2 linked regions of the Notamacropus eugenii genome follow. The protein of the gene in region 1 interacts with the protein of each later gene in a pairwise test. Links are inferred from orthologs where the notes say so. Each region holds a gene or a part of one and is shown on either strand. Other genes may lie near its edges. The genes, in order: TACC3 and KIZ.

The links.
Region 2: the proteins of TACC3 (region 1) and KIZ interact in binary tests that used the Homo sapiens proteins (3 or more experiments, as listed by UniProt). The two-hybrid records come from large-scale screens. The link is inferred for Notamacropus eugenii from reciprocal best matches to the Homo sapiens genes TACC3 and KIZ.

Annotation. Positions count from the first base shown.
Region 1 is NC_092877.1:50,054,496-50,069,456, reverse strand, and holds the start of TACC3 (transforming acidic coiled-coil-containing protein 3), read right to left. Parts: upstream 6,022-14,961; 5' UTR 5,775-6,021; intron 3,486-5,774; exon of another isoform or gene 3,426-3,485; intron 1-3,425. Other genes in the region: TMEM129 (E3 ubiquitin-protein ligase TM129), read left to right, coding at 13,642-13,846. UniProt on the Homo sapiens protein: Plays a role in the microtubule-dependent coupling of the nucleus and the centrosome. Involved in the processes that regulate centrosome-mediated interkinetic nuclear migration (INM) of neural progenitors.
Region 2 is NC_092872.1:596,697,550-596,713,428, forward strand, and holds the start of KIZ (centrosomal protein kizuna), read left to right. Parts: upstream 1-8,204; 5' UTR 8,205-8,266; coding exon of another isoform or gene 8,267-8,295; 5' UTR 8,296-8,335; coding exon 8,336-8,421; intron 8,422-8,480; exon of another isoform or gene 8,481-8,597; intron 8,598-15,879. UniProt on the Homo sapiens protein: Centrosomal protein required for establishing a robust mitotic centrosome architecture that can endure the forces that converge on the centrosomes during spindle formation. Required for stabilizing the expanded pericentriolar material around the centriole.

The sequences.
Region 1 (14,961 bases):
TGAAGTTGATTTTTAATTAAAATTTGGTCGTTGCCAAAATCTTTTACTGTTGCCAAAATCTTTTACTGTTGCCAAATTTTTCAAGACTCCATATGCTATCTTGACCCAGTTTAAGAAGCACTACTATAGACAACCTAGATACCATATTGCACAAAGGAAAAAAACAAGTTGTAGGAGGGAATCTGAAAAACAAAATGAAAAATTGAAAGCAAAAGTTAAAAGGTAGCACAAAGAACAAAACAAACATTAATCAAAAATTTTACTAGAGACTTGAAAGACAAAAAAACATTAAGAGAGTACACCTTAAGAGTACTGTACACAGAAAATTTCTGGCTCTCTACATGGTTGCAAGAATTCCAACACAATGAAATAGCAAGTTGGGGCAAATTAGAAGTCAGTTCTGTGTTTAATCACCTCATGCCAAGCATTCATAGTCTGAATCATTGATTTACACAGAAAGTTTAAACACTCAACAAGAAAACAACATACTGGATGAGGAGCAAAAAAATGGTCCTCATTAAAGCAGTTAAGCCAAAGGGCATTTACACCGATTACCTCTGTGGCAGTCGTTCAGTTCCACACATGCTAAAGATACGTAAAACAGATCCCAATGTAGGGACATTGCTAGGGTATTTGATATCTATGTGGAAAATGGTTCTCACTTACAACACACCATCAACCATGCAACACCAGCAACTGATAAGTGTGGCATTGTTCAGGAAGACAGTTTAAGTCCATTACAATCCTGCCTAGTCTTAAATCCATTATCTTCTCTCCTATTTAAGTAAAGCTTCAAATTTAAAAGGGCATCAAACCAAAATATCTTCATACACAGTAAACAGCTCCCGTCAGCTTGTGCCACTTTTCTCTAATCAAAACATCACCTATCTGATAAGTGTAAAATTTTTAATGTACAACAAGGAAAGGTACAAACTAAAGCCTCTGAGCTTGAACACGGAAATGAAATTGAACCAATGAATTAAGGCAATACTTACAATACTTTGATCTCCCTTCAAGCAAGACACATCTAGCATAAGTTGTTTGTCTTTCATTCTCAAAGGGGACCATGACATCAGGAAGGTGATGCCATGACTTGCAAGTGAATTAGATTTAAATGAGGGAGGGCTGTGCAAAATCATCAGCCTCACTTTCTCGTCCAGAACCATCCGGGGGGTCCAATGGCAAGATGCAAATAAGGACAAATGGAGACAGCCCCACTGCAGTGGGAAACCATGGCCATTTTAAGCTCAGATCGTTCCCGGGCATCAGTTTGACTAAGGCAGCACACATTCAGTGATTCAGGCTAAGTAAGAAATAAGGCAAAGAATGACCTCTTTAACCTAGTCAAAAAAAAAAAAAAAAGATATACATACATACATACACACACACACACACACACACACACACACACACACACACGTTGATAGATAGATAGATATCTTGGAGGGGAAGACCCTCAGGGTTTCTAGCCAAAACACAAACAACTGGCTTTCATTCTGAGCAATCAGGGCCCAAATAATGAGGCACTGGGTGTGAGCTGCTGCCCATAGAGGTATCCAGACTTAGTAATCAAAGAAGATAATTCAATCAATCAACCAATATTTATTAAGTATCTACTATGTGCCGGGTACTATGTTAAGCACTATACAAAAAGAGGCAAAAGATAGCCCCTGCCCTCAAGGAGCTTACAGTCTAATGGAAAAGACAACATGCATGCAAACAAACACATACAAAACAAGCTATAGAAAGGATGAATAGGAGATATTAACAATGGGAAGGCATTAGAAGTAAGAGGAGTTGGGGAAAGCTTTCATTAAAAAAGTGGGATTTTAGTTAGGACTTAAGAGGAAGGTGGGGAGGGCAGCAGGTGGAGCAGAGAAGGAAGAATGTTCCAAGAATGGGGCACTGAGATGGAGCGTCAGTAAGGTAGAAAAAGCCTGTGGGGCATGAATGGTTGACTTTGAATGTCATAAACAACATTCTGTATTTGCTCCTAGAGGCAAAAGAGAACCACTGGGGTTAAATGAGTAGGGGGATGACAAGATAATACATAATGAAGCATCCCGTAGGTTACAAAGATTGGATCTCCTACCAAATGCTTAGCAAGACAAGACCTGGTAGTTGAATTATACATCAGAATCAGATACATTACACTGACCCATAAAAAACTTGAAAAGGTGTCACCATGACAAAAATCAATCAAGTATTTTAAGTATGTAATCTGTGCTAGGCACTGTGATAGGTGTTAGGGATACAAAAAACCCCCAAAATGAAATGGCTCCTGTCCTCAAAAATCTTACATTCTAGCAGAGGAGGGGACAGGTACAGGTTAGGTATATAAGGCAGATAATACATTAACCTTGGAAGACAAGGCAGGATTAGTAGCTGGAGGCTGAGGAATTGGGTGGGGGAGGCCCAAGAATGGAGGGGAGCAGGGCACAGAGATCAGGAAACTTCCTACAGAAGGTAACTTTTGATCGGAGTCTTGGAGAAAATCAGGGGCTCCCAATAAGCCAAGGTCAAAAGAATGTCATTTCAGTAGTAGGAGAAAGATCTTACTTGGAAAAGGTCCACCTGAAAGTTTGGTTAAGAGAAGGCAAACAAGCTAAACACAAACAGTTTATTCACTTTTAAGCTAGCTTATTACATGATCACGGAGCCAGAAAAACTTTTGACTGACTAATACAAGAATGACCAGGCTTAAATCGGTTTAGGACAATCCAAAGTTGTCTGTGTCCTTCTGATTTATGGTCTGGATGAGTGATTAACTATAACACAAGAAAGGAATTTCTTAATTGGATAGGTTGTAAATACAATAAGAGAAGAGACTTGAGAAGGTGTTGAGTGAAGTTACAACTCAGAACATCTGTGTTTTCTCTGTCATTAACATGTTGTAACATAGTACATGTCCACAAGATAATAAAAAAAAGTCCCACTATTCAAGATAGTATCTCAGGTTCAGGGTCTCAAAGTATGCTAAGTCAGCCCCATCTGCCCTTGTTGACATAGGAAGAGGTATTCTCTGCGTTTACTTCAGAGAACAAAGAGACTGTTAGGTCCAGGCTCTTCTTCAAGCTCTGGCCCTTATTAAAGTCCAAAAATGATATTAAATATTATCAATACTTACAGACAAACACAACCTCTCAAAGCCTCAGTTTCCTCCTCTGTAAAATGAGGATAATATCCTTGCCCTACTTAGCTAACAAGATTGTTGTGAGAAAAATATCCTGCAAACTTTAAAGCACTGGAGATTATAAAGAAAGGAAGCAATTTGTTCATGGTCACACAAATTAAGTGGCAGAGCCAGGATGTGAATTATTTGAATTTTTAAAAATCAATCATTTTATCCAAAACTTACTGATTCGACCTTTAAAACATCTTTTGCATCAATCTTTCTCTCTAGTTGAAGCTTTTATTACACTCACCTGGACCAACCTCCTAATTGGTCTTCCTGCTTCCAGGTTCTTCTCTCTCCAATTCATGCTCTATGCAGATGCAAAAATCATCTTACTAAGACAGATCTAATCATGTCCCTTTCCTGCTCAAAATTTCTAATGACTTCCTACTGCCTCTAGTATGAAACACATGCTACTTCATTTAAAGCCCCCTATAATCTGACTCCAACTTAACTTTCCAGTCTTTTTTTCCCCATGTTATTTCCCTTTTGAATTTCCAACCAAATTGAACCAGTAACTATCCACAAAACTCAACAAACCAATTGCCCATGCCTAGAATGCACTCCCTTCAACTCTGCCTCTCAGAATTTTGACCTTCCTTCAATAATCAGCTCAAGTGCTACCTGCTCTGGGAAGCCTTCCCTGCTAGCCCAAGGTGCTAGTGGCTCTTTGGCTTCACAAATTACCTTATCTTTACTCATCTCAGGTGCCTATCGATCTTCCACCTAGGAGAAGGTAACAATAACTAACCATGTATAATAATAGTAACATTTACACAGCATCTACTATATGCCAAGCACTGTGCTAAGCTCTCTACAAATATCTTATTGGATCCCCACACCCTGGATGTGGATGCTACTATTATTCCCATTTTACAGATGAGAAACTGAGGCGGGAAAAAAGGTAAATGATTTGCCCACAGTCACACAAGCTAGGAAGTATCAGAGGATGGATCTGAAACCAAATATTTCTAATTCCCAAAGCACCTTAACATACATCATGCCTGTGAGGAAGATCGCCCCTGGGGCAACCAGCACTATGCCCTCAAAGATGTGAGTTCATGCTCATGAAAGCAAATCTTCTGTTAAGTGTACACCCAAATATCCTGAGCCCCCCAACTCAGTGTGAAGCTTGGGTTCCTAAAGTCATCTTGGATATAGATATTGTTATTACCAGGTTAACAGAAATCTAGGCAAAATAGAGCACAGAACCAGTAAAAGCTGGTTCTGACTGAAGAAAAAAAAAATTTTTTTTCCTGCTACTTCTGGCACAGAGTACTGCATTTCCCCAGCATTTCCAGTACGGCCCCCATGCCTAGAATGCTCTTTCTCTGCATCTTCACCCTCCTGCCCTCCCTAGCTTCCCTTTAAACCTTGGTTAAGGACCCACCCACCTTCTGCAAGAAGACTTTCCCAACACTTCTTAATTCTCGTGTCTTTCCTCTGAGACTGCTCCCAACTTATCCTGATTACATCGTGTTTGTATGACTTCTTTCCATTATACTGTGAGTTCCTGGAGAACACAGGACAGTTTTTTTGTTTGTTTATTTTTCTAAGCATCCCCAGAGCTTAGCCCAGTGTCTGGCACATAGTAAACTGGTGGTTAATAAATGTCAGTTGACAGAAAAGGAAACAAACATCAGGAATCACTCTCCAAATGAGTGTATTCCCACTCTCCTTCCCTAATCACTCCCAGAAAAGAGCCTTCCAAAACAGTCCTAGTAAAGGAGATCAAAATCAGGTGAAAATAGGATGAAATTCCCATCATCCTGTTGTGCTGAAGTCTTTCTCCTGGAGTTCACACAAAATAACTTGACAACCTAACACTTTTATTCAAATACAAAAGGCAGTAATTGTATCCACCTGTGAACAGTTCAGAGGGCATTAGAACAGTAAGAGAAGGAGAGCCAGAAAAACAAACAAACAAAAAAAGCCCTGGCCTGTTCATATTTTAACTCCGCAGAATTTTTTTCTAGAATTTTTTTTAGAATATCTTTTCTACAATATTTTTTCTAGAATAAGAACAATAACTAATAACTGGCGTTTATATAGAGCTCTAAGAATTGCCGAGTCCTTTACTGAGCCTCACAAAAACCTAGGGAGAAGTAGGTACAATTACTATCCCTTTTATGGACTGGGGGTAGGGGGTGCGGGGAATCAGGGTTTACTAAGCACCTACTGGGTTCCAGGCACAGAGACAAGCGCTTTACAATTGCCATTTGTGGTCCTTCCTATTTTATACATAAGACAACCAGGGCGAGCGGAGGGGGAGTGACTTGCCCAAGGTCACCCCGCCAGTAAGTGTCTGAGACCCGGTGCATTCAGCCTCAAAACAGGGAAACCTCGGCTCCGAGAGGTTAAGACACGTGCCCGGGGCTCCCAGCTCCTTAGTGCTAGAAACAGGACTTGAACTCGGGTCTCGCCGACACCAGGGTTGGCCCGGATGGATCCTGGGGCCTTTCCTCCTCTCCCCACCCCCACCGCTCCCCGCAGCTCGCAGAGACCCGGACTCGCCCGCCCTCCAGAGAGGCCTCGCCGCCTCAGACAGCCTTCCACTCGCACGGAGAAGGGCAGGGCCAGGGAGGCACGACGTTCCTACCTGCCAGGCTATGGCCCGCAGGTCGCGAGCGCGGACGAGGAAGGAGAAGGGCTCCCGAGAGAGGGACGGAGAAGCGCCGGGGCGCAGAGAAGCAGCAAGTCTGAGAGCCCCAAGCAACGGCGGCGACTATGCTTAGACAGCTCCTCCCCCGAGCCGCCGAGATTCAAATAGGAACGGTCGAGCTCTTTCAGCCAATCAGAGTGCAGATCAGGAAGCTCATGCGCAGAGGAGGACACGCGCAGACTCCGTTGCTTCCACGGGTGCGTAGCCGCTGAGCCCCGCCTCCTTCCCTGCGCTCCTTTGTCCGCGGGTACCTTCCAGTCGTTCGGAGGAAGTGGTAGTGCTGGGAGCCAATTGGCGCTTACGAAAGTTCCGTTTCCGGTCGCGCGGTAAAGGCTGGGAAATGAAGTCGAGAAGTGGCCCTGCTATGTAGGGAAGCTATAAAGATTCTATGCCATTAAAAAGATGCTGAAAATATGCGGCAAATGTGTATAAGCTACATCGTTTAAACGTACGAGTAATAATATTCGTTATAATGATAACTAGAGAAGTAGGCCTCCTGATGGGTGCCGCAGCTTTCAAACTTTTTGGTCTTTACCAGCTTCAAAACTGTTGAGGACCCCAAAGGATTTCTTTTAGTGGGACACAGCCTTCGCTACGTATTTAATTTTTGTATGTTTGCATATTTAATATAGATTTTTTACGTTTGAAATTAAAACTAACAAACTTAAAATCTTTATTAATTCAATTAAAACAACAGTAAACATTCGAAGTAACATAAACATTTTTATGAAAAATAACTTTTCAAAAAAGATTGAAGAGTGGCGTAATTTTACCTATTTTGCAACACTCTTTCATGTCTGACTTTAGTGGCAATCTGTGCTAACAGGAGGGAGCACTAATGTATTCACAGATACATTCCCCCCAAAACGAAAACTCACATTTCACTTTCCCCAGCTGGGAGTCTTGGCACTTCCCTGACACTTTCAAAGACACTTCCCAAAATTCTCCTTTACCAGGAGGATCAGAAAGGGAAAGTGATTTATCTAAGGTCACAAAGCAACTGAGCAGCCAAATTGTGATTGGTCACGAATGTCCTGACTTCTGGTCCTGGACTCTGTGATCTGCTATGCTGCCTTTTTCTTTCTTCTCAAATACAAACAGATAAAGCCAGATTCCCTGGCTTTATAAAGCCCATAAATTACACTCAAAGAGAACACTTTGCTCACTGTCCTTTAAAACCATGGCTGCATAACAAGTAATTGTAACTCAGAATGTGAAGGGGACTAATTTACCCATAAAACTGAAAGGACAACAATTAAAAATCTGAATTCAGCAATAAGTTGCTTTCAGGAAACTTTATAAAAGTGAGAGATAGACACAAAGATAAAATAAAAGGCAAGAGTAGAATTTAATGTGTAAAAAAAGCAGGAATAGTAATCATCTCAAAGTTAAAGTTAAAATAGATTTAATCAAAAGTGAAAAATACTCTGTGTCAGCAATATTATTCAATAGTTTTAGAGTGACCATTTAAAATACCTAGATTATATAAAATACCTGAGTGTATTCCTGCCAAAATAGACACCACAACTATATGAACATAAATATAAAATGCTTTTTATAGAAATAAATGCAGATCTAAATAATTGAAGTAATATTTATTGTTCATGGGTAAGTAAAGCCAATATAATTTTTAGAATGACAGTTTTACCTAACTAATCTCCGTATTCAGTGCCATCCCAACTAAATTACTAAAAAAAAATTATTGAGTTAAAAAAATATAACAAAGTTCATTTGGAAGAACAAAAGGTCAGAAACTTTAAGGAAACCTGGGGGAAAAAGATGTAAAGGAAGTAGATTTGGTAGTATCAAACCTTAAAGTGTAAGGTGAGAGCATTGTTGAAGTGTCAAAAAGATAATTTCAATTATTTTAAGTTGAAATTTTCTTCTATAAATAAAACCTATGTAGCCAAGAATGCAGAAAATCAGGAAAAAACTTTCATAGACAATCCCTCGGATAGGATGTAAACAGGTTGGAATATTGCTGTGATGTAGGAAATGATGAGCTGATTGATTTAGAAAAACATAGAGACTTAGACTTAGGAAGGAAGATGCTATACACCTTCAGAAAAACAGATGATGGAAGAAAATAAGCATAGTATGGTCTTACATATATATGTATTTTATATGGAAATTTGTCTTATATTGAATCCTCTCTTATGCTCAGCTATGTACATGGCAATAGTTTTTTTCTTTTCTAATTTTGTAATTTTAAGTTAAAAATAAAAAAATATTTAAAATTAAGTTTAGAATTTAAAAATTAATTTTTTAAATTTTAAATTAAAACAATAAAACAGCCATATAAAGAAAAGCAATTATATTAAAATACAGTAATCAAAATTTAAAAAAAAAAGACAAGTTCACAGACCCCCCGAATAAGGATCCTAATGATTTCCAATACTGTATCATTTTTGCTTTCCCGCAGAAGTAGCTTTTCACAGAGGAAGACGATAAAACTATATATGTCCATCAGACAAGTCACCACAAGAGGGCGATTCAGATAATGTATTTGGTCAGCATAGTGAAGAAATAATTCATAGAACTTTATAGCTGGAAGGGACCGCAGAAGGCTTTTTGTTCAGTCATTTCAGTCCTATCTGACTTTTTGTGACCCCATTTCGGGTTTTCTTGGCAAAGATACTGGAGTGGTTTCCTTTTCTAGTTCATTTTACAGATAAGGAAACTGAGGTAAAAGCAGGGTTAATTGACTTGCTTGGGTCACATAGTATTTGAGGCAGAATTTGAACTCAAGAAGTCTTCCTGACTCCAGGCCTCGAATTCTATCCACTAAGCCATCTGGGGCCATTTGTTCATATACTTCAGCCAAACTGGACTACAAAATTCAATATCATGCCACAGTTTTTGTTCTGTCTTGCTCATGTAGCAACACTTGGCCTCTCTTTTTTCAGTTTTTGATTCCTTTTGTTCTACACCACCATTATTTCTCAGTTCACTTCCCCACCACCGTTGACTTCTTTTGTCACCAAAGAAAAAAAAAAACAACTCAGCGAAACAAATTGGCACAACAACCAATCATGAAACATTCCATTCTAGTAGTCCCTGAACCTCAGACCAAAATTGGTGATACAGTTTATCAGATTTTGACTAATTTTTAGTGTCATTTTTGTTTACATGACTGTAGTCATCACATATATCATTTTCTTGTTTTTGCTTATTTCACTGTAGACATCAGTTCATACAAGTGTTCCTTTGTGTCTCTGAATTGGTCATATTCAAAAGAGAAATAGGGAGTCTGAATTAGGGTGATGGCTGGGTGAGTCAAGAGAAGGGGTGGCAATGTGAGAGTTATTGTGAAAACAGAACTATGAAGATTTGTTAACTGATTGGATCTGATGGGGTACAAGCCCAACCCAAGACCTTTTTCCCTTGGATCGGAAGAGTTGCTGGGAAGTCTGGCTTTTGGGGGATGGCTCCTTGGATTCCCCTTCCATTTCTCCCAGGCCACATACTCCCTATCTTCTATTTAGCATTTTTGATATGCCTCCCTTTGATCGTATTACCAGACACTCCTCTCTGGGTTTAATCTATCTAGACCACCCCTGGGACCTGAGATTACCTGGTGACACCTGGATTCTTCCCTCAGTCTTTTTCTGTATTTAAGTTCCATCTCGCCTCCATGAAGGCATTCAGATTCAGTCCAGCTCAGACTCTGCCTAGCTGAGATTCTATCTCGACTGCTTGTGAATACAAGTATTATAAATCTTAGGCTCCTAAAGAGTCAACCTAAGGTGGTGAATCTTTAATAAACTTTGGTTTTCTTTGATTTAAAGAAGTCTTGAGTCGAATTCATTTGAGCAGGACCTGGCGTGTCGGTATTTCAGGGTCCCCAGCACTCCTCAAACCTCATCAGATCCTTGGCCCTAAGGACAATAAGGAGTTGAGGAGACTGGGAGGTTGGTGCATGCAATTTCCACTGAAATAAGGAAGTTTGAGAGAGGGGAGGAGTTGGGTTTTTTGGTTGATTTTTTTCCTGGGGATGGTGGAGGGGAATAACGAGTTCTAGTTTGGACATGTTGAGTTGAAGATATCTGCAGGACATTCAGTTTGAAATTTCCTGTGGGGGATTAGTGATATGGGACTACAAGCTCAAGGGAGAGCCTGTGAGTCATTTGCATAGAGATGGCAGTTAATCTCAGTGCCACATCCTTTACATGGCCTTTCCTCATTTTCCCAGTTGTTTGTGTCTCTCCCAATTACTTTGTATTTATTTATCAAGAGCAAGCACTCTCAATTTGGTCTGTTTTCCAATGACTATCATAGATGCTCAATAAATGTTTGCTGGTTGACTTTTTGAATAACTGACTGCCTTTGCCTGCAAGGAATTTATACTATCCTAAGAGGATACAATATAGACACAAGTAAAGTTATTTTTTTTTTTACAAGTTAGTTTGAGGAGAGGAGAGAAGGCAGTAGTAAATAAGAAAATCCAGGTGACCTCTATTGAGGCCTTGAAGGAAGGTAAGGATTTGGAGATGCAAAAATGAGAAAGAGGGAACATTCCAGGCAAAAAGGAATGTGTGTACAAACACATGGGGGTGGAAGATGAAATGTCAAGTTTGTGGCATAGTTAATAGCCCATTTTAGCTGAAATGAAGTTCCTGAATAGGAATAATATGAAATAAAATTGAAAAAGTAGGGCGGGAGCCTGGTTGTAGGAGGCCTTAAATGCTTCTCCTAAAGGTCAGCAGTTCTCAACTTTTGTCTCAGGACTCCTTTATGCTTTTTAAAATTATTGAGAACTCCCCCAAGAGCTATTGTTAGAAGTGAAAGCACCTTGACATTATTATGAATACAATTTTAACCTCATAGAGCCCCCTGAAAGAGTCCCTGAAAACTAGAGATGAGCACTGGGGAGCTACAGAATGTTTTTGAGCAGAAAAGTAGCATCGTCCCACTCGTACCTTAGAAATTTTGGCAGCAGACCCATGTCTGTCTTACTCTGACCTCTCTAATCACCCTGCCCTATTCACATTGTCCTCTATTCCTGTAATGGACTCCCCTGATCTTTATCTCTCCAAATTCCTTTCTTCCTCCAAGGTTTACTTCAGGTATCACTTCCTTCCAAAGGCAGTCTCTCTCTCCTCAAATTCCTCAGAGCAGCATTGTTCCTGGATCCCTCCTCCGCTCTGATCACATTCTGCCTTATGGCAAAGTCAGCTGTGTTTTATTTCCTCAGATAATAAGTCCCTGTCTTGTCTGCCATTTTACCCTCAGTACTCATACAGTACTTTGGTCATATCAGTCAATTAACAAGCATTTAATTATGAAGGTACAAAATAAATTCAAGTTAATGCTTTGGGGGTTGGGGAGAGAAGGCAGGGGTGGGTGAGTGGAGAGACCACAGCACTTTGTCACTTGAGCAGAGTTTTGAAGCAAAGGAAGGATTCTAAGAGTCAGAGGGGAAGGGTAAGAGCATTCAAGACATAAGACACTAGTAGTCCTAACCATATGGCCAATAATGTGTTGAAAGAATGAATGAATAAAAATTCTTTGTAAGTTTGATTATCTAGGGAAAGGGTGGGGAACCTGCCGCCTCAAGGCCACATGTGGCCCTCTAGGTCCTGTGGTTGGCCTTCTGACCGAGTCCAAGTTTTACAAAAGAAATCCTTTTATTAAAGGGATTTGTTTTGTGAAGTTTGGATTCAGTCCAAGGGCTGAACTTGAGAAGCTAGAGGGTCACATATGGCCTTGAGGGGGCGGGTTCCCCACCCCTAAAGGGTTTTAGTTATCTAGGAATAGTGTGGCACTGCGGAAAGAGTCCTGGATGGGTTCTAATTCCTCCTATCTCAGCCTTTCTGCTCTCTGCCTCAATTTCATCTTCTGTAAAACACCAAAGAGTAGAACAGCTGATTTCTTAAGTACATATACTCAGAAAATGTCAGAGCCTGAATGGAGTTTGGAAATCAGCTGGTTCACTCTCTATTGTGTATATGTATTTACATATTTTATTTGCATGTAATTTATAAATAAATATATGTGTGTATACACAAATATATATACAAATATACATAAGAGGTTGGATATGTATGTATGGGTGTATTTATGTGTACACACATATGTGTATATGTACATGTGTGTTATATTTAATGTGCATGTGTATATAAATATAGAACTATAATTATATAATATAGAAATATGCTACATAATATATTGATATAATAATTTTATATATTTTTATGTAGTCTATATGTGAGTGTGTGTGTGTATACCACATAGACATAAGATGACAAACTATAGGAACTGCCCTGTTGGTTGAGCTTTGAATTGGCACAGCTATTCTGGAAAGCAATTTGAAATTATGCAAATAAAATGACTAATATTTTCATACCTTTAGACACAAAGATTCCTCTGTTAGGCAGATACCCTGAGTGGATAGAGCACCAGTGCAGGAGTCAGGAGGACCTGAGTTCAAATTTCACCTCAGACACTTGACACTCACTAGCTGTGTGACCTTGGGTAAGTCACTTAACCTTAATTGCCTCATTCTGGGTCATCTCCAGTCGTCCTGATGAATATCTGGTCTCTGGATTCAGATGGCTCTGGAGGAGAAGTGAGGCTGGTGACCTGCACAGCCCTCCCTCACTCAAAACAAAGTCAAGTGCAAGTCATGTCATCATTTCTCTGATGGCGTGATCTTCTTCCGCAACGAAGGACGAACACACACACCCTGAGGAGGTCATTGACAAAAAGAAAAGATCCACATACACCAAAATGATTACATCGGCACTTTTTATGGTAGCAAGAACTGGAACCAAAATAGGTATCCATTGGTTAGGAAAGAGGGAGAAGGAACAAAAAACAGGGAGGGGGGAAAGGGATTAGGAGAGGAGAAAGTGAGGAGGTGTAATCTTAGAGAAAATTTTCCTCTTAACGTCTGATAAAGTGGAAATGAAAATTATCCCACGAGTAGATTGTATGATGTGACAGAAGGAAGAGCCAAATGAACAATATATGATTGCAACAATGTAACAAGTCAATATTGGTATTCCACAAAACTGGGCAAATATACGGGTCAATTGCAGTTCTATATTGTCAGAGTTAAAGGACGCTTCCCATCTGTTAACAATCAATAAGCTATATTGTGGGATGTAGTCATATATACAACATTATGTGTATATATGTATATTTTGTGTATATTATATGTGTACGTATACACACACAGGCACTGTACATCTGTATTTAATCGTTAAAACTGGATGGCGTAGGCAAAGAAGGTGAGGTGGCTTGCTGCGGAGGGCAGAGTCCTGGGTCTGCCCCCGCTGGGACCGTCCCTTAAATACTGGGGGCGCCGCTTCCTCCCCTGTAGAAGAAGGGGGGCTGCTCCTTGAACTGAAGAGACCTCGCCTCTTTTTTGTCGCAGTCTGGACGATACCCAATGGAAGGCGAGCGCTCGAATTGTACAAGACGCTGAGAGATGTTGGAACCATTTAATGGGAACACTGCGGCTTGCAGACAGACCACCAACCCCCACCGCAAGCGTGGGTTAACGAGTCCAGCCCAGAGTAAGAGGATTCGGGCGTTCCAAGCCAAATCTGCGGTGATGTCTGAGCTGCACCTCCAGCGGACGCTTCTGTGACAGAGCGGGAGGAGGGCACGGGTTTGGAAACTACATTTCCCAGCAGCCCCCGCGGCCGCCGAGGCCGGGGACGGGAAGTCCCTGCGGCCCAGGGCGGGGGCGGGGCCGGGCGCCGCGGGCAGGTCGGTCTTCGTTCCACCGACGCTCCGGTCGGACCCCGCCGGGCTGGGCTGCCTCACCGGGCGGCCTGACGGCGCCCGGGGGACCAGCATGGACAGCCCCGAGGTGACCTTCACCCTGGCCTACATAGTCTTCTCTGTCTGCTTCGTCTTCACGCCCAACGAGTTCCACTCGGCGGGGCTGACCGTGCAGAACTTGCTGTCCAGCTGGCTGGGCATCGAGGACGTGGCCTTCGTCCAGTACCACCTGCGCAGGACCACGGTCACCATGCTGGTCCACTCGCTGCTGCCGCTGGGTGAGTGGGGGCGGGGGCGCCGGGGGGCGGGGCGGCTGACCAGGCTAGTCTGGCTTGACTCAGCTCCTTGTCTGTCGCGCCCCCTACCCGGAGGGGTCACACCGCACCCCCACTCTGGGACCCCGCATTGACGGCCCTGGGCCAGGCAAAGCCGGGGCGGCGCGGAGAGAGGCCGGTGGGGGACCCAAGGAAACCCGCTCCTCCCTGGGTCGGCATGAAGGGGCGGGGTGCCTGCAGTCTAGACCCCTGGGGAGGGCCGGGGGTGCGGGCTCAGAAGCCTCCAGGGGCTTCAGTCCATTGGGGACGACCCCCACCCCAGGGTCCCAAGGGGGTGCTGCACGGTGCAGAGGGTCCAGCCCCCAGGCTGGGGAAGGACCCCTGCAGAATGGGGTGGGTGGGCTTGAAGGAAGCCAAGGGAAGGGGGGCTGCCCTTCCAGCCCTAAATCATTAAGCCCTATGAACCATTCCACAGATATGAAGAGCCTTTGTGAGCTCTTCACTTCCAGTCAACCAGCCTTTCTAATGTTCGTTCCTGTTTTGGGCCAGGCTCCTGAGAAGATACAGAGATGAAAAGTGGTACATTATCACAAAGCCCCTCCCCTGAAGGAGTTTATCCTTAATCCGGGCAGGAAAGAAAGGATGCAGACAGGAAATACATGCCATGAAGGCAACAAAACAAAATGCAAGTCAAACATAATGGACAGTGTTGGTTACACATTACCAAACTTCAAGGACACTTCCTTTCTGTTTAAAAAAAACAAAAGGCTGTAAAACACAAGTGATATGGACAGGCAGTCAGAATCACTGTATTATGACTTGGCCTGACTGTACTTTTGTGGAATGTTATTTATTACTGGAAGTGACTGACATGTCAGAACAAAATAAAGTCAGTATGCAGATTTCTGGGGATGGTCTTAAGAATCAGCAATATTAATAAGTAGCTTTTATATAACCTTAAGGTTTGCAGAGCTTTTCAAATATTATATTATCTGCACAATAACCCTGGGAGATACGTGCTATTATTCTCATTTTATATTGAAGGAAATTAAGGAAAACAGATTAAGTGATTTGCCCAGGGTCACACAGTCAGTGAATGTCTGAGGTTGGATTTGAAC
Region 2 (15,879 bases), on another chromosome or scaffold:
CATATTTAAATATTTTGATTAAATTTTATATACAACTTTCAAAGTTGTTTAGTTCTACAGGACAGCCTTACAATCAGGGGGTAGTCTAGGTATCTGTTCTCTGGTGGTCAATAGGAATACCTTAACCTCTTAGGAAAGGGCCAGCTCAAGCATATACCAGAGAAGATAGTTGACGAAGCTGAGCAGGTGGCACAAGAAGAACCCACTTGATGGGCAACTGAGATATTGTATTCCCTACCTGTATAATTAATAGGTCAGCATGTTGTCTTTCTGTAGGTCTAAAGAAAGGTAGCATTCAAGCCACACAAACAGAGAGCCCCATATGGGAAACAGTATCACATATGTCTTCAGGTTTATTAGAATATTTATGCTACAGAAGAAGAATTATTATCTATGTATGCAGCTACAAGTAAGGCAGGGGCAGCTAGGTGGTGTAGTGGATAGAGTACCAGTGCAGGAGTCAGGAGGACCTGAGTTCAAATCTCACCTTAGACACTTGACACCCACTAGCTGTGTGACCTTGGGCAAGTCACTTAACCCCAACTGCCTCATCCTGGGTCATCTCTAGTCATCCTGATGAATATCTGGTCATTGGATTCATATGGCTCTGGAGGAGAAGTGAAGCTGGTGACCTGCACAGCTCTCCCTCACTCAAAACGAAGTTGAATGCGAGTCACGTCATGATTTCTCTGATGACATGGTCTTCTTTGGCAACGAAGGATGAACACACACACACATACAAGTAAGGCAGATATATGGCTCCTGCATTTGGCCATCCAATCACTAGAGGCTCTCTTTTCTACATTTCACCTTTTCCCCACTTCAATCATGAAATTAACCACAAGATAATTCTGATTCAATCCTGATGGGGACACCAAGTGTTCAGAACCAGGCCTGACTGACAGTTTAAGTTCCAATTTGGAACAAAACGAGTTATTTGTGAACCATCTATCATTATGCAAAGAAAGGAGGAAGAAGTTTTTATTAGATGCCTACTAAGTGCCAAGTTCTAGGTTAAGTCCATTGCAAATATTATCTCATTTGAGTCTCAAAACAGCCCTGTGAGAGAAGTGCTATTATGCTCTTTTTTTTTGCAGATGAGGAAACAGGCTGAGAGAGATTAAGTGATTTGCTCACTCATACAGTTAGTAAGTATTAAAGACTGGATTTGAACTTAGGTCTTCCTGAGCCCAGGCTCAGCATTCTATTCATTGCACTACCTAGTTGTCTAGTTTACTTAAGGATAGAAATGGAAAAGTTATTCAGCTAGGATACAACATTGATTCAGGTGGAGAAACTTCTCTTCACTTCTGCATTTGCCACCCTGCTGTTGATCAGAAGAGTGTGTTTGTTGACTAGTACAGCTAATAAGACATCTGTCACCTGAGAAACATACTCTTTATATACTGGACATTTATACTTGAGAAACCAGGAAACTATGCCAATGGTTTGAGCGACAATGCTGTGGCCTAATTAAGTATGAGGGTGGCTTCACTGTCTTTTTAGGATAAAAATTAGTCTAACTTATATAGAGTAGATGGTGTACTTACCACTTATAATCATAGGTGGGCCTGTGATATCTGGTAATCAACAGTTTAGTGACATTTCTCAAATAATTCCAAACTGTTTCTAAACTGATTGGACCAATTCACACTACCACCAAATGTATTAGTGTGCTTATTATCTGTCTGCAGCCCCTCTCACATGGACTTTGTCTTTTATCACCTTTGCCAATATGATGACTATGGGAAGGAGTTGTTTTAATTTGCATTTTTTATCATTTCAGATTTGAATTGTTTTTAATATGGTTGTTGATCATCAGCATTTCTTCTTTTGAAAATTGTTCATACCTTTTGACTATCCTTTGGGGAATGGCTCTTGATCTTATAATGATCCCATAAACTTCTTGTATGTTATACTTTTATCACAAATATTTGATGCAAAATAAATCCCTGATTGACAGTTTTTCTTCTTAGTCTAATGGTATTGATTTTGCTCATGCAAAAAGCTTTTTAGTTTTAAGTAAATGAAATTGTTTTATTATATCTTTTATGACCACTTCTATCTCTTGCTTGATTAAAATTTTTCCCCCTAACCAGGGATCTAAAAGGTACCTCTTTTCATTTTCCTTTATTTCTATGTGATTTTTTTATATTTAGTTCACGAATTCATTCACACACATTTACTGTATATAGTGTAAACCTATATATCCAAACCTAATATAATATAAGGGCTCTTACAGAAGAATATTTACTTTGGGGTATAATAACAAATATACAAAGTTATTCCTCCATCACAGGGGAAGCATAGCCCTCCACTGTTCTGAACTACCTTACTCTCTGGGGAAGAGAAAAGGGTTAGGTTCATAGCTTAGTTTGGTTCCCAGACATCACAGTCCAAGTTCCAAATCCAAACTCCACCCTGGGGGACTTTACAAACAAATGAGCTTTACAAAGCCCATTTGTAAAAAATGTCTCATTAGAGTGTCTATCTTTTATATAAATACGTGTGCGTGTGTGTGTGCGTGCATGTGTGTGTGTGTGTGTGTAAGTGTCACAGTGGATAGAGCACTGGCTCTGGGGTCAGAAGGACCTGAGTTTAAATCTGGCCTCCTTTGGGGGAAAAGGGGTTTTCAAATCCCAGGGTTTCCATCCTTGGATGGCTTGCTACATCACCCTATCTGCAGTTCTGGCTGCAAGGTTACAATGGCTCAAACTCAGGATCCATGATCTCCAGGATCTAAAACTGAGGACAAACAACACAGAATGGAAACAAGTAAGAGCCAGGGTAAAAGAAGGGGAGGGGAGTGGGAAGGATTTTCCTTTTCCTCTCACTGGTTCAGTTCATGATGTCCAGATTTTGGGCACAGCTGAACACTGAAAGAGCACAGCTGAAAAGATGGAAGAATAGAGCTGAAAAAAGAGTGAACAGCTTGCTCTCACCAGTTTTAAGGACATAGGAGGCCAAAGAAGGCTACCCCCCCCCCCATGTGGTAGAGGATGCAGTGGGCTCCATGTTAGGTAAGATGGGCATGCATAAAGCCACTCAAGAGAGTCTCCATGTTAAAACTAGGTATGCCCAGAGAAGCTTGGATTACAATAATTTTTGACAATCTAACTTCCCAGCATTTCTGAGATAACCAACTTATTTCAGGTAAATTCCAATATAAATTGGAGTCAGCTAGCTAATTGGAACATTTATTAAGCACTTACTTTGTGTGAGACATTGTACTAAGCATTGGGGATACAAGCAAATAAGCAAAACAGTCCCTGACCATGAGCATCTTAACTTCTAATGTGAGAAGACAACATGTAAAGGGGACCTAGGAATGGAGATGGAGGTAATGATGATATAGAGTTGACTGGAAAGTGACTTAGAAACCTGGTTCTGGGCAAGATTACCACTAATTCATCTATCAGAGCCAGGGTTATCTTGGGGCAGAGTCCAATGTGGTGGTGGTGGTGGGGAAGTAAGGGTGATGGTCTTAGTATAGGCAAGTAGTTAGGAAATGAGTGGAAGTGAGTTTATAGGTCTTTCTGAAATTCCACAAAAGTCACTGAAAATAGCTGAAGTTTTAGATATTCAAATCTTTAAAAGAAATAGGAAGCATATTTGGTTTAAGCTGCCCATGAATTAGGGTATTCCTGTGTTATCTACCAATAATGTGATAGGTTACATTCTTCAGTCAATTATGAAACCAACAGGGTAAGAATGAAGAGTCACTATGCCATGTGTTTCTTCATTCTTCATTATGATAAACTGAAATAATTATTTTGGGATACAAGAACAGTGGTGGGGGAGAGGAGAAAGGGAAGGGAAAACTTCAAAGCAGTGTGAAAAATCAGTCAACAAATATTTATTATATGCCTACTACTGACTACAGGGTAGGGCCATGAACTCTAGGTACTCTATTTCAGAAAGGGACTCAATACAATCTTCTCCCCTTTTTCCACAGGCTATGTTGCTTTTGGATTTCTTTTTTCTTCTACTTCTCCTCTCCTTTTTCAGCTTCCTTTTATATGGTGTCCTTCCTAATTAAAATGTAAGCTCTTTGAGGGCAGGAATTATTTTTTAAAAATTTATATTTGTATTTCCAGCAGTGCCTGGCACATAGTAGGTGGTTAATCAATATTTATTGACTAAGTGACTACTATAAGCTGGGCACTGGCAGTAAAAAGATACAAAGAAAAAATCCCCAACCTTAAAGATCTCACTTTTTTTTTTCAGGAAAAACAGTATGTACACACATAAGGAAATACAAAATATATACTAAGTGTAAACACATATAATAAAAGAGAAAAAAACTCCCCATTGGGTTAATAGTTTGGAAACTGTGTTGTGTCCCTTTTCTGCCACTTAGCAGTTCTGAGAAGTTGGGCATGTCATTTTACTATTTACATATAATAACTGCCTTACTTTATGGAATTCTTAAGATAAAATAGTCTATGTAAAAGTTATTTTTAAAAGTACTATTCAAATGCAAGATATTTTTAACTGTGTTCATTTTATTTAAAGAAATCCTATGTGTTCATCATACTTTCATTCATTCATTCATACTTTGTTAAATGTGTCTATTGCATGATACCCTTAAAATTTATTTGAAGAAATACATTTATTTTTGATTTCATAAGTATATAGTTATATGACTAAGGGGATACTAGAATTTCCATTTATTTTACAATTTTTTAAAAGACCTAAGAAAACTGCCATTCTGTGCTAATTCCACCAACATAATAGAAAATTTCAGCTGAACATCAATCACTGAAAGGATAGAGTTGCACAGAAGCTATTTCTATGATATTGAAAGCAGGAAAGCTATCTTGAATCATTTCATGCAAATTTATACAGTGTCTCCCATCTTTGAATCTCAAAGAACTTTATAAGCAAAGTGACACTAGACATATTTTATAGAGAAAATCAAAATATTTAGCAGTTTAATGATTTACAAAGTCTAGGTCCAGTTTGTGACTAGAGGACATTTGTAAGCATTCTCTGGCCAGGTCTATATAAACCAAAACAAAGAAGTTTGATGTAATTATTGTGGTAGTTCAAACGAAACCCTACTTTTACCTAAATTATCAGTTATTGCACTATATATTTTTATACAAAAATCAGGGTCTTTATACTGGTTATTGAGGATAGAATCTTCTAGCTGTTTACAGACTTTTTTTCACAGTCCAGCAAGGAAATTTTATTAAAATAACCATGGGTTAAACTTAATAGCCTTTGTTAACTGGTGGAGATACTTTAAAAAAAAATTGATATTTTTTAATTTCCAAAGACATATACCTCTCCCTTTCTCCACGAGTTCCATTCCTTATAACAAACAAGAAAAGGGGAGAAAAGAGCACTTCCATAAAACTAAACTACACATTTACTGAGTTGATCATCATCTATGCAAAGTTCCACACCCATTTTTCCCCACCTCTCCAATGTCTTCTTTGGGGCTAAATTTGGTCATTTTCTTCATTTCAAGTATTGCTTCTTTGTTGTTCTTTCCATTTACACTGTAGTAGCTATTGCTTGTATTATTTTCCTGGTTTTGTTAACCTGAATTCGCTTTAGTTCCTGTCTTCCTATTCTTCTCTGCATCCTTCTTATTCCTCATTTCTTTCTTTTTTTTTTTTTTGGAGGGGGGAGGCAAGGCAATCTCGGTTAAATGACTTGCCTAAGGTCACATAGCTAGTAAGAGCTAAGAGTCTGAGGCCGGATTTGATGTCAGGAGGACCTGAGTTCAGGTCCCAGGCTCTATTCACTGTGCCACCTAGTTGCCCTTTCCTCATTTCTTATAACACAGTAATGCCCCATTATATTTAAGATGGCAATTCATTTAGTCATTCCTCAAACCATGAGCATCCACTTTGTTTCATTTTTTGATTCATCAAGTAGAAGAGCTTTAAATATTTTTGTTTTATTTGGGAGCTTTCTTTCTGCCTTTGATCTCCTTAGAATATATTCTGATAGCAATGGGATCTCTGAGTCAAAAGGTATAAACATTTTAGTAACTAGTGCTTTCCAAATGATTGAGCCAGTTAATTTAGTGCCACCAAGTGTATTCATATGCCTGTATTTCTATAGCCCTCTAACATTTGTTAACCCCATCTTCTGTCACCTTTGTCTATTTTCTAGATGTAAGGCAAAACCTCAAAGTTGTTTTAATCTGATTTTTCTTATTATAAGAATATCAGGTCACTGGATTCAGATGGCTCTGGAGGAGAAGTAAGGCTGGTAACCTGCACAGCCCTTCCTCACTCAAAACAAAGTCATGTGCAAGTCATGTCATTATTTCTCTGATGGCATTGTCTTCTTTGGCAACGAAGGACATACATGAGTGATTCAACACAATTTTTCATTTGATTCTTATTAGTTTGCAATTCTTTTGAGAACTTTATATCTTCCGACCATTTGTCCACTGGGGAATAGCTCTTGATCTTTGTGTTAATTACTTATATATTTCAGATATAAAAAACTTGAGAAATCTGATGTAAAGTCCCCCTCCCCCCCACCATTGGTAACTTCTCTTCTTATCCTGCGGGCATTGATTGTTACTGAAAAAACACTTTTCAATTTCATTTGATCAAAATGATCTATTTAATTCTTTGTGATAACAACCTCTATCCCTTGTTTGGTTAAGAACTTCTGTAGCCATAGTTAAGAAAGATACATGATCTGGTTCTCTGCCAATCTTTTCACAAAGTGGAGAGATTACTGAGCCTGGAGTTAGGAAGACATCTTCCTGTGTTCAAACCTGGCCTCAGATGCTTACTAGCTGTGTGACCCTGGGCAAGTCCCTTAACTCTATTTGCCTCAGTTTCCTCAAATGGTAAAATGAGCTAGAGAAGGAAATGGCAAACCACTCCAGTATCCTTGCCAAGAAAACTTTCAAATAGGTTCATGAAGAGTCAGACAGAACAGAAACAACAACAAAAGTCTACGGAGGAGACACTTTGACAGAGACATTTACTTCAGTGAATTTAAGGGGCTTAGCAAACCAAAAGAACATCAGGTGTGGTCTGAATTGTAGCTCCAGTATTAATTACCTGTGGGAATCTCTAAGCCTTGTTGCTCACCTGTGAAATGGGAGTAATAGTATCCATACTACCTCCATCCTTCACTGAAGCCTTCATGGTGATGTGGAGGTGATTTTACCCATACCTGTGAAACGCAAAGGTAAGCAGGTAAACTGGGGGTGTGGGGTACAGTCCAGCAGTAGCTTGCATGCTTTTTGCCAGGGCCTTACTTTTTTGATCAAAGCCAACTCTAGATCTTTTACTAAGACATCTAAAGACTATGTCTAATCTGACTGGTACTTAAGGGCAAGGCACTAAGTCTGGATATATAAACTGAAAAGACAAATCCCTGCCTGCAAGGGACTCACATTCTACCGGTAGAAGCATTCTTCTCAGTAAGTTCAACACCCTGAATGGCTGGGCCATCTCCAGTCATCCCGATCTGTACCTGGCCACTGCACCCAGATGGCTCTGGAGGAGAAAGTGAGGCTGGTGACTTGGCACAGCCCTCCCTCATTCCAATCCCATTCAGCTGCCAGCCATGTCATCACCTCCCTGAGGTCGTGGCCTTTTTCCAGAAGGAAGGGCAGACCACAACGCTGAATTATCAGGGTGATTCTGCTACACAGATCTGGCCTTAGGATGGATTTCTGCCAAAAGGCATTTACTGAATACCTCTGTGCCACGCACCGGAGAGAAAGCAAGTGGCAGTCCTCGTTCGGGTTCACAGTCTAGCGGACGCCAACCACGACGTCCAAGCAAGCTACGTACAACCACCAGTGGGAAAACCCTAGGATTCCGAGGGACTAGGAAAGGCGTCTACCCAGAGCTGGGGCTTGAGGGAAACCAGGGAATCCGGAGGCGTGGAGGACGAGGGAGGGCATCCCAGGCCATGAGGGCAGCCACAAAGAATGGCCAGGGCCGGGGGCACGGAGAACAGCCAGCAGGCCGGCAGGCCTTCCTCTGAGCCCCAAGGCAGCACCGGGGGATGCTCCCGCTCCATGTTCACGTGCGTGGACAAGTTGAACACGAGGCGCACAGGACAAAGTCGGCAGGCGGGGGGCGTTTCCGGCACGGCCCGCTCCAGCTCGGGCTTCTGGGAAGGGAGGGGCGGGGCTAGAGCGGAGCACGCAGCAGCGTCCTCCCCGCCCCCCCCCCCCCCCCCCGCCCAGGTCGCGGGAGCTCAGCAGCCCCCTCCCCCCTCACGCCCCGGTCCGCTCTTGCGCAGGAGGGAGGAGCGGGCTGAGCCGCAGAGCATGCCGGGGAGGTCGCTTAGGCTTTCCCGGTAAATACAGAGGGACGCGGCGGGGCGGGGGGCGCGCGCTATGGCGCAGTGCTCAGCGCAGGGCCCCTTTTCAGGCCCCGACTACTACGAAAAGCTGGGCCGCCTCCAGGGTGCGCTAAGAGACAGGTAGGGGCGGACGGGGCCGAGGTCGGGGGCGGGGCCGGGGTGGTCGAGGTCCTCGGGACCGCCCCCTTCCCGGTGGAGGGGAGGGGGCTGGGGGTGGTGTCCAGCGTGGAGCGTCCCTCGTCGGCCGTCCCTGGTCCGGCCCGGGGGGGCGGCTACTGCGCGCGGCTGGCCGGCGGGTGAGCGAGAGCGGCCGCCCTTTCCCTGCCCTTCATCTCTCTCCGCTTTCTCCCCTTTTCTCTTCCCCCCCTTTTCCTCTCTTTCCTGAGCTTTTGGGGGACGGCGGGGGCAGAGACAATCCTGTATTGATCAGCCTTACACTCGCCTCACTTAGATGTCAGGGACCCTGTCGCTCTTTTAATTCTAGGACCACCCCCAAGGTAGAAAGCTTCTTAACCTAGGGTCCATGGACGGATTCCAGGGAGTGGGAGAACGTGGAGGGGAAAAAAAATTCATCATTATTTTCACCAATCTTTGGTTTCCTTTGTAATCTTATGTATTTACTTCCATGCACTTAAAAACATTTTTTTTCCGAGAAGAGGAATATACATTTCGTCAGAATGCCCCGTTCATAATACAAAAAAAGATTAAGAACCCTTGTCTTAGAGCCGAAAAGTTGCTGCAGTCCTGGGAGAGTTTGCTGTCTTGTGTCAACTTCAGTTCCACAGGAGACAGGTCTTTCTATTTTGCCTACTTTAAAACTTCCATCTTCAGAAGTCCATTTGGGTTGGGATAAGGATGGTATCTTTAGTATACAGGTGTGTATGTTTGCATGTGACTGGGGGAATGGGTGAGGTCCAGAAAAGATTTCCAGTGAAGGATCACATAAATTCAGAAAAATTAAAGCTTTTCCAGAATGCCTTTTTGTCAGAGTTGGAAACGAGGAACTTTTTGGAAACAATCTGGTTTTAATAGGATGAAAATTTGTTACTGAAAGTTAAAAAAAACAAAAAACACTGCACATCCCAAAACAATTTCTGTAGCTTACTTTTGCTGCAAAAGTAATTGAAAGTGTGAGTAATAGCAGTTGGCCACCCAGTGGGAAGGTCAACTTTCAAATGCCTGAACAGAAAAATCAATGAAGTATTGAAAAAAGATACTGGACTGTGATTCTGGATACTAGGGGAATAGTATATGCAATGAAAAGCTTAAAAATAGCTCCATATAAGGAAAGTTAGATAGGAAGGATTGACAAAATTTTAACAAAATTACTTTTTCCTGAAAAAAGTACATTTGAAAGTTCAAACCATTAGCTTTTGAACGTGTCCTATACTGTCATGCCCAATAGCAACCTGTATAATTCAGTCAGTAGCCAGTTACTTGCGAAAAATCATTGCCAAACTTTTGCTTTACCTCTACACAATTTTTATCCACCTAATGTAGTTTTCCTGTCATCCACAGAAATTGATTAACCTGATTTAACCATGACTGTATTCAGTTGTTTTATGCAACTAATAAAGGCATAACACAGTACTCTTCTTCAGTACCTGGAAAACTCTTTTCACTTTCCTGTTATAGTAGTATAATAATTATTTGCATAAGGGTGGTTTGTTTATATTTATCAGTCAAGCATTTATTAAGCACGTGTTGTGATCCATGAACACTGGATCACAACCGTTAGGCATTGGCAACAAAAAGGACAAGAACTGGACAAGTGTCTGTCCCTAAGCTTGTCAGCCAGTTAACTTTATGATCCTGAATCCAGAATTGACAAATTTTATAGCATATTTTATACCCTAGATAAAGTAGTATTTTTGGACTAAAGTTTATTGTTATCTCATTTTCCATATCAGGGATATTTCCTATCCTTAGAGTGTAGCAGTTATATTGTAAATATTACTTGTGTTATGTTTTATATTAACTTGAATTGTCTTCTCTCAAGCAAATTGAACTTAGTGAAAAAAGGAATCTAATTAGTCCTTTATTGGTCTTATACTTTTAAAAAGGAAATCAATCCTTTATTTTAATAAATAATTCAGAATTACCTTTTGTAAATGTTAATAAAGAGCCTTATTCTGAAAGTCTGGATGTCTGACTTTTTAATCTCTTATTAGTTCTATAATCTTGGTTTAGTCACTTGTTTAAATGAGGAAATTCAACTACTTAACTTTAGGCCCTTTTCAACTCTAAAATTCTGTCTCATTGGGTCTATGATCTTTACTGCTATACTTGACTGCCACTGGTACATGACAAGTCAGTATTGATTTTCATGGTAGTGATGTCAGTGATTAGATAACAGATACTAAAAAGGGTGTGAGAGCACTAATCTTACTAATACTAATTTGTATTTAATTTGCTCTGTGATAATTTTGACTTTTAATTGATAGTTGAATCTGAAAAAATTAAATTCGGCAATCACGTTAAGCATCTGTTACATTCAAGACACAATACTAAGCACTAGAGATACAGAGACAAAAACAAAATAGTCCCTGTCCTCAAGGAATCTGCATTCTATTGGGGATATAGTGTTGACATCGGTAAGTTATATAAGATAACTTGAGGTGGGTAATAACAGTAGCTCACATTGAGGCTTTAGGCATTACAGAATGCTTTATAAGCATCTCGTTTTAACCTTAACCTTTTTAACCTTGCTAGATGAGGAAACTGAGGCTTTGGAATTAAGTGACTTGTCCAAGATCATATAGCTAGTGTAAGAGGTGGTATCTTTCGACTCTAGTTCCAATGCTCTTAGTAACTACCACCCTGCCTTTCAGGTGGCTTTTGGAAAATCTTCAAGAAGGCTATAGCATCTGAGTTGAGTCTCAAAGAAAGATATGGATTCTGAGAGGTAGAAATGAGTGTGTGTATTCTGAAATGGAGTGAGTGGTTTGTGCAAATTGGTGGGATGGTACAGTTGCATGTCCAGCAATTTGGAGAACATGTAATTTACTTAAAATGTACAATATATGATGAGCATAATAATATGTAAGTAGGCTTACTACTAGCAAATTACATATCATAAAAAACATACATCATCTACTGTTGTTTTATAGTGTCCCTATTCACATGTCTCAATATTCCAAAAAATAATACAAACATCTGGTCTTATCTCATGAATTTCAAAGTATTAATTGTAGAGTTCAGGGTCAAATAGAATATAATTCAGCAAAGACAAATACTTTAAAAAACATCTTTTGCAAGAGAAAGTTAGCTGTGTAGATCAACTAATGGAGACTGGCCAGTTATTTATATAAACACAAGATCTAGAGGTCATAGAATATGAAGTAGCAACACAGTGTACTTTTTGGAGTAGACTAGAGCATGTAATCCTTCCTCAAAAGTTATAGTTTGTTATACCCATGTTGTATCACCAGTGTGATGTAATGAAAAGTTCACTGGACTTGAAGTCAGAAAGTCTGAATTTGACTTTGACTCTACCTCTTATGAGTTCTGTGACCTTGTATAAAGATCAGTTGCCTCATCTTTAAAATGGGATAATAATCACATACTGACCCTGTATGAGAACTGCAAAGATAATAACGATAATAACAGATGGCATTTATGTAGTGCTTTAATGTTTGCTAAGTGCTTTATAGATAGTTCATTTTATCCTCACAACAACAGGGATAAGGGCTAATTTTGTCTCCATTTTATATATGAGGAAACTGAAGCAGATGAGGTTCAGTGAACCCCCAGGGTGACACAGTGAATGTCTAAGGCTAGATTTGAACTAAGGTTCTTCTAACTCAAGGTCCAGTGCTATATCCACTTGTCTACCTAGCTGTCTTTATCTTATGAAGTTAGATGTGGTTCTGTATAAAATTTGCCATGCAAGATGATAATTGAAACTGGAAGCTATGAGATTACTAAGTTAAGTAGTATGGAGGGAGAAGAGGGCTCAGGACAGGGCCTTTAGGGACCCCTGTGGTTAGTGGTCATGATTTGGATGAAGATCCAGCAAAGGACACAGAGAAGAAATGATCAGATAGGTAGAAGGAAAACCAGGGGAGAGCAATAGCATGAAAACCTAGAAAGAAGACAGTATCAAGAAAAAGGGTGATCAGTGTCAAAGGTCACAGGTCAAGAAGGATGAGGATTGAGAAGAGACCATTAAATCTGATGAGATCATTGGGAAGATGGCAGAAAAGCAGGAAGAAGTATAGGGGGTGTACAAAGAATACAGAAGTACAGAGAGTGCTCCCTACTCTTCTCCCACCCTCAAAAAAACAAAAAACAAAACCCAACCCTGCTTCAAATAGATCTAGAAAACACTCTAGTCAGATTCTTGATGGGGAAATTCAAGAAAAAGTCACAGTCAATCATTTTTCCAGCTCATGGGCAGCATAGGGAGACAGAAAAGTCTGGACAGGGAGCACACTATAACCACTCCAACATAAGAGAGGTGGTGCACCAGGATGAGAAGGTTCCTATTCCCAGAGAATAGAAACAGATGCCAGTTGGCAGCTTTATTTCCCACTATGCAGTTCTTGTTGTTTGTCCTTTATTCTTGAAGAAGACCATGACATCAGGGTGATGCCATGACTTGCAAGTGAATTGGATTTAAGTGAGGGAGGGCTGTGCAGTCACCAACCTCACTCTCTCCTCTGGAGCCATTTGGGTCTAGCGGCAAGAGACAAATTAGGGCAAATATAGATGCCCCCTACACAAGGGTACCTGCTATATTGTAGGACCAGTGGTTTTCTAATACATTTTCCTTGACCCTGACACAACTGCCTTTCTTGTACATAACCTGATTAGCCCCAGTATCCCTGATGCACCTTCCTGGGGCCATAAAAGGTTCCAACCTCATGGACTTGCTACTGTGCAGAGTTGGTGGGTGCCCAAGACCATTTGAATCAATATTTGGTTAGAAGAACCCTAATGACTGACTGACCAGAAGAGTTTGCAGGTAGAGATGAAGGGAACTGAGTCAAGAGAATCTAAATTCCACCTTGTTGCTGTGGTTAGGGCAAAGTAAACTTCCTCCTTTGTTAAATTTTCAGTGACTTGTGAGTGCCTCATTTTGTCCCAACATCGAACTAAGAGGGTGCCAGTTTTAGAGCTGTGCCTATGTTTGGTAAAGTCTTGGCAGACTGGGACAAAAGATGGCCTTGTGGCTTACGTTGTTGTTAAGTTGGGGTGAGAACCCTGCTGTTACAGAGGAAGAAGATGGTATGAACAGATGGAAGGGTACTGATTACCTATGGCTAAAGCCCTTTTAAAAATTTTCTACAACTATACATAGATATTTATGTGTATGATGCTATAACATATTCATTGCATAATATGTGTTTGCATATATATTCATGTTTTACAAAGTAGCTTTTTCTATTTACCGATCAGAGAAAGGTAGAATAAACAGATTATTCTCATTTTACAGGTGAAGATGAGCCTTCACACAAACTTGTTAAGACAAATCAAAAAAATTAAGTAGCTAGTACATACTAAGCACTTAATAAACACTTGTTGATGACTTGATTTAGCAAATCTAGGTGATTTGATAAAGCTCAAACAGCTAAAAGGTGGCAAATCTGAATAATTTTCTGAAGTTTTCTGAATGTAATTAAATGTTCTTTCTAATATATTACATCCATTTTAAAATTTTCTTTTTAAAAAATTTATGTATGTGTATTTTTAGTTTTCAGTATTCACTTTTATAAGAATTTGAGTTCTAAATTTTCCCTCCTCCTTTCCCTCTCCCCTCCTCAAGATGGTATGCAGTCTAATATAGGCTATACATGTGCCATCATATTAAATATATTTCCACATTAGTCATGTTGTAAAAGAAGAATCAGGACAAAAGGGGAAAACCATTAGAAAGAAAAAACAACAGCAAAAGAGAAAATAGTATGCTTTGATCAGCGTTTAGACTCCATGATTCTTTCTCCGGATATGGATAGCATTTTCCATCATGAGTCTTTAGGAATTGACTTAGATCATTGCCTTGTTGAGAAGAGCTATGTCTGTCAAGGTCAGTCATCCCACAGTGTTGCTGTTACTGTGTACAGTGTTCTGGTTCTGTTCAGTTCACTCAACCTTGGTTCATGCAAGTCTTTCCAGGTTTTTCTGAAATTTGCCTGCTCATCATTTCTTATGGAACAGTAATATTTCTTTGCCACCACAAAGAGAACTGATTTCTTGTTTTGTTCAGGTAGGTCCCTTTACCATTTTTATGATCTCTTTGGGATATACACCTAATAGTATTAGGTGTTGCTGGATCAAGGGGTGTGCAGTTTTATAGCCCTTTGGCCATAGTTCCATATTGTTCTCCAGAATGGTTGGATCAGTTCACGACTCTACCAACAAAACATTAGTGTTCCAATTTTCCCAACGTTTATCGTTTTCCTTTTTTGTCATATTAGCCAATCTGATAGGCGTGAAGTGGTGCCTCAGAGTTGTTTTAATTGGCATTTCTCTAATCAAAGTGAGAGATTTTTTCATATGACTGGATAGCTTTAATCTCTTCATCTGAAAACTGCCTGTTCATATCCTTTGACCATTTATCCATTGGGGAATGACTTGTACTCTTATAAACTTGACTAAGTTCTCTGTATATTTTAGAGGTGAGGCCTTTATCAGAGACACTGGCTGTAAAAGTTATTTCCCGGCTTTCTACTTCCCTTCTAATCTTGGCAACATTTGGCGTTGTTTGTGCAAAGCCTTTTTAATTTAATATAATCAAAATTATCCATTTTGCATTTCTTGTGCTGGGGGTCAGGGGCCTGGTCACTGGCTTTTGGTGTTAGGGCCTCAAGTACTGGCAACTAGAGACTGTAGGGATCTGGCAGCTTACTTGGTGCTGAGCTGGGGTCCTAGTGGTGTTGTCTAGTATGTGCTGAGGCCAGGTGGGGTTTTTCTTCATTTCACTGGGGCCACACTGAAGCACTGGAAGATGTGACCAATGAAGGATGCCTGTCCACTCCTGGGCTGTGCTGAAACATAGGGAGGTCTGCTGCTAGGGGACACCTGCCCTGCCTGGACTGCACCAGTTTAGGAGTTCTCTCAGCTGGAGTTTGCTGATTCCCGAGGCTATGCTAAGGTAGTTGGAGTTCCTGGTGTTGGTGCTTGCTGAGGTGGGGCTTGTTGCTGGCTTGCCGAGACACCTCCTTATCTTGGTCCATGCTCCTTTTTTACCTGAGTGAAATGGACTTTTCTTGACAATTCTCCAAGTTTCCTAGGCTAAAAGACTCCCTCACTCTGTTTTTCTGCTATTCCAGGATTTTCCTTGGGTTGCTATTTTCTGGGTTTTTCAGAAGTCAGTGAGGGAGAGTGAGTGATTTACTGATTATTCTGCCATCTTGGCTTCCAGAAGTCCATCTGTCTAAAGCTCTTCTGATTATATGTAGGACTGCCAGCAAATTTTCATTTAAACAGGTGGACTAGCTCAGTAGGTGCTAGAGTAGGCTGCCTGAAAGGTTAGAGAAAGTTCCAAGACCATTATTCCTCGGTTGTAATTGACTGTACTGCCTAAATTGGACCTTCAGCATAATCAGACTGAAAGTAAACCACGTTAGTCAGTAG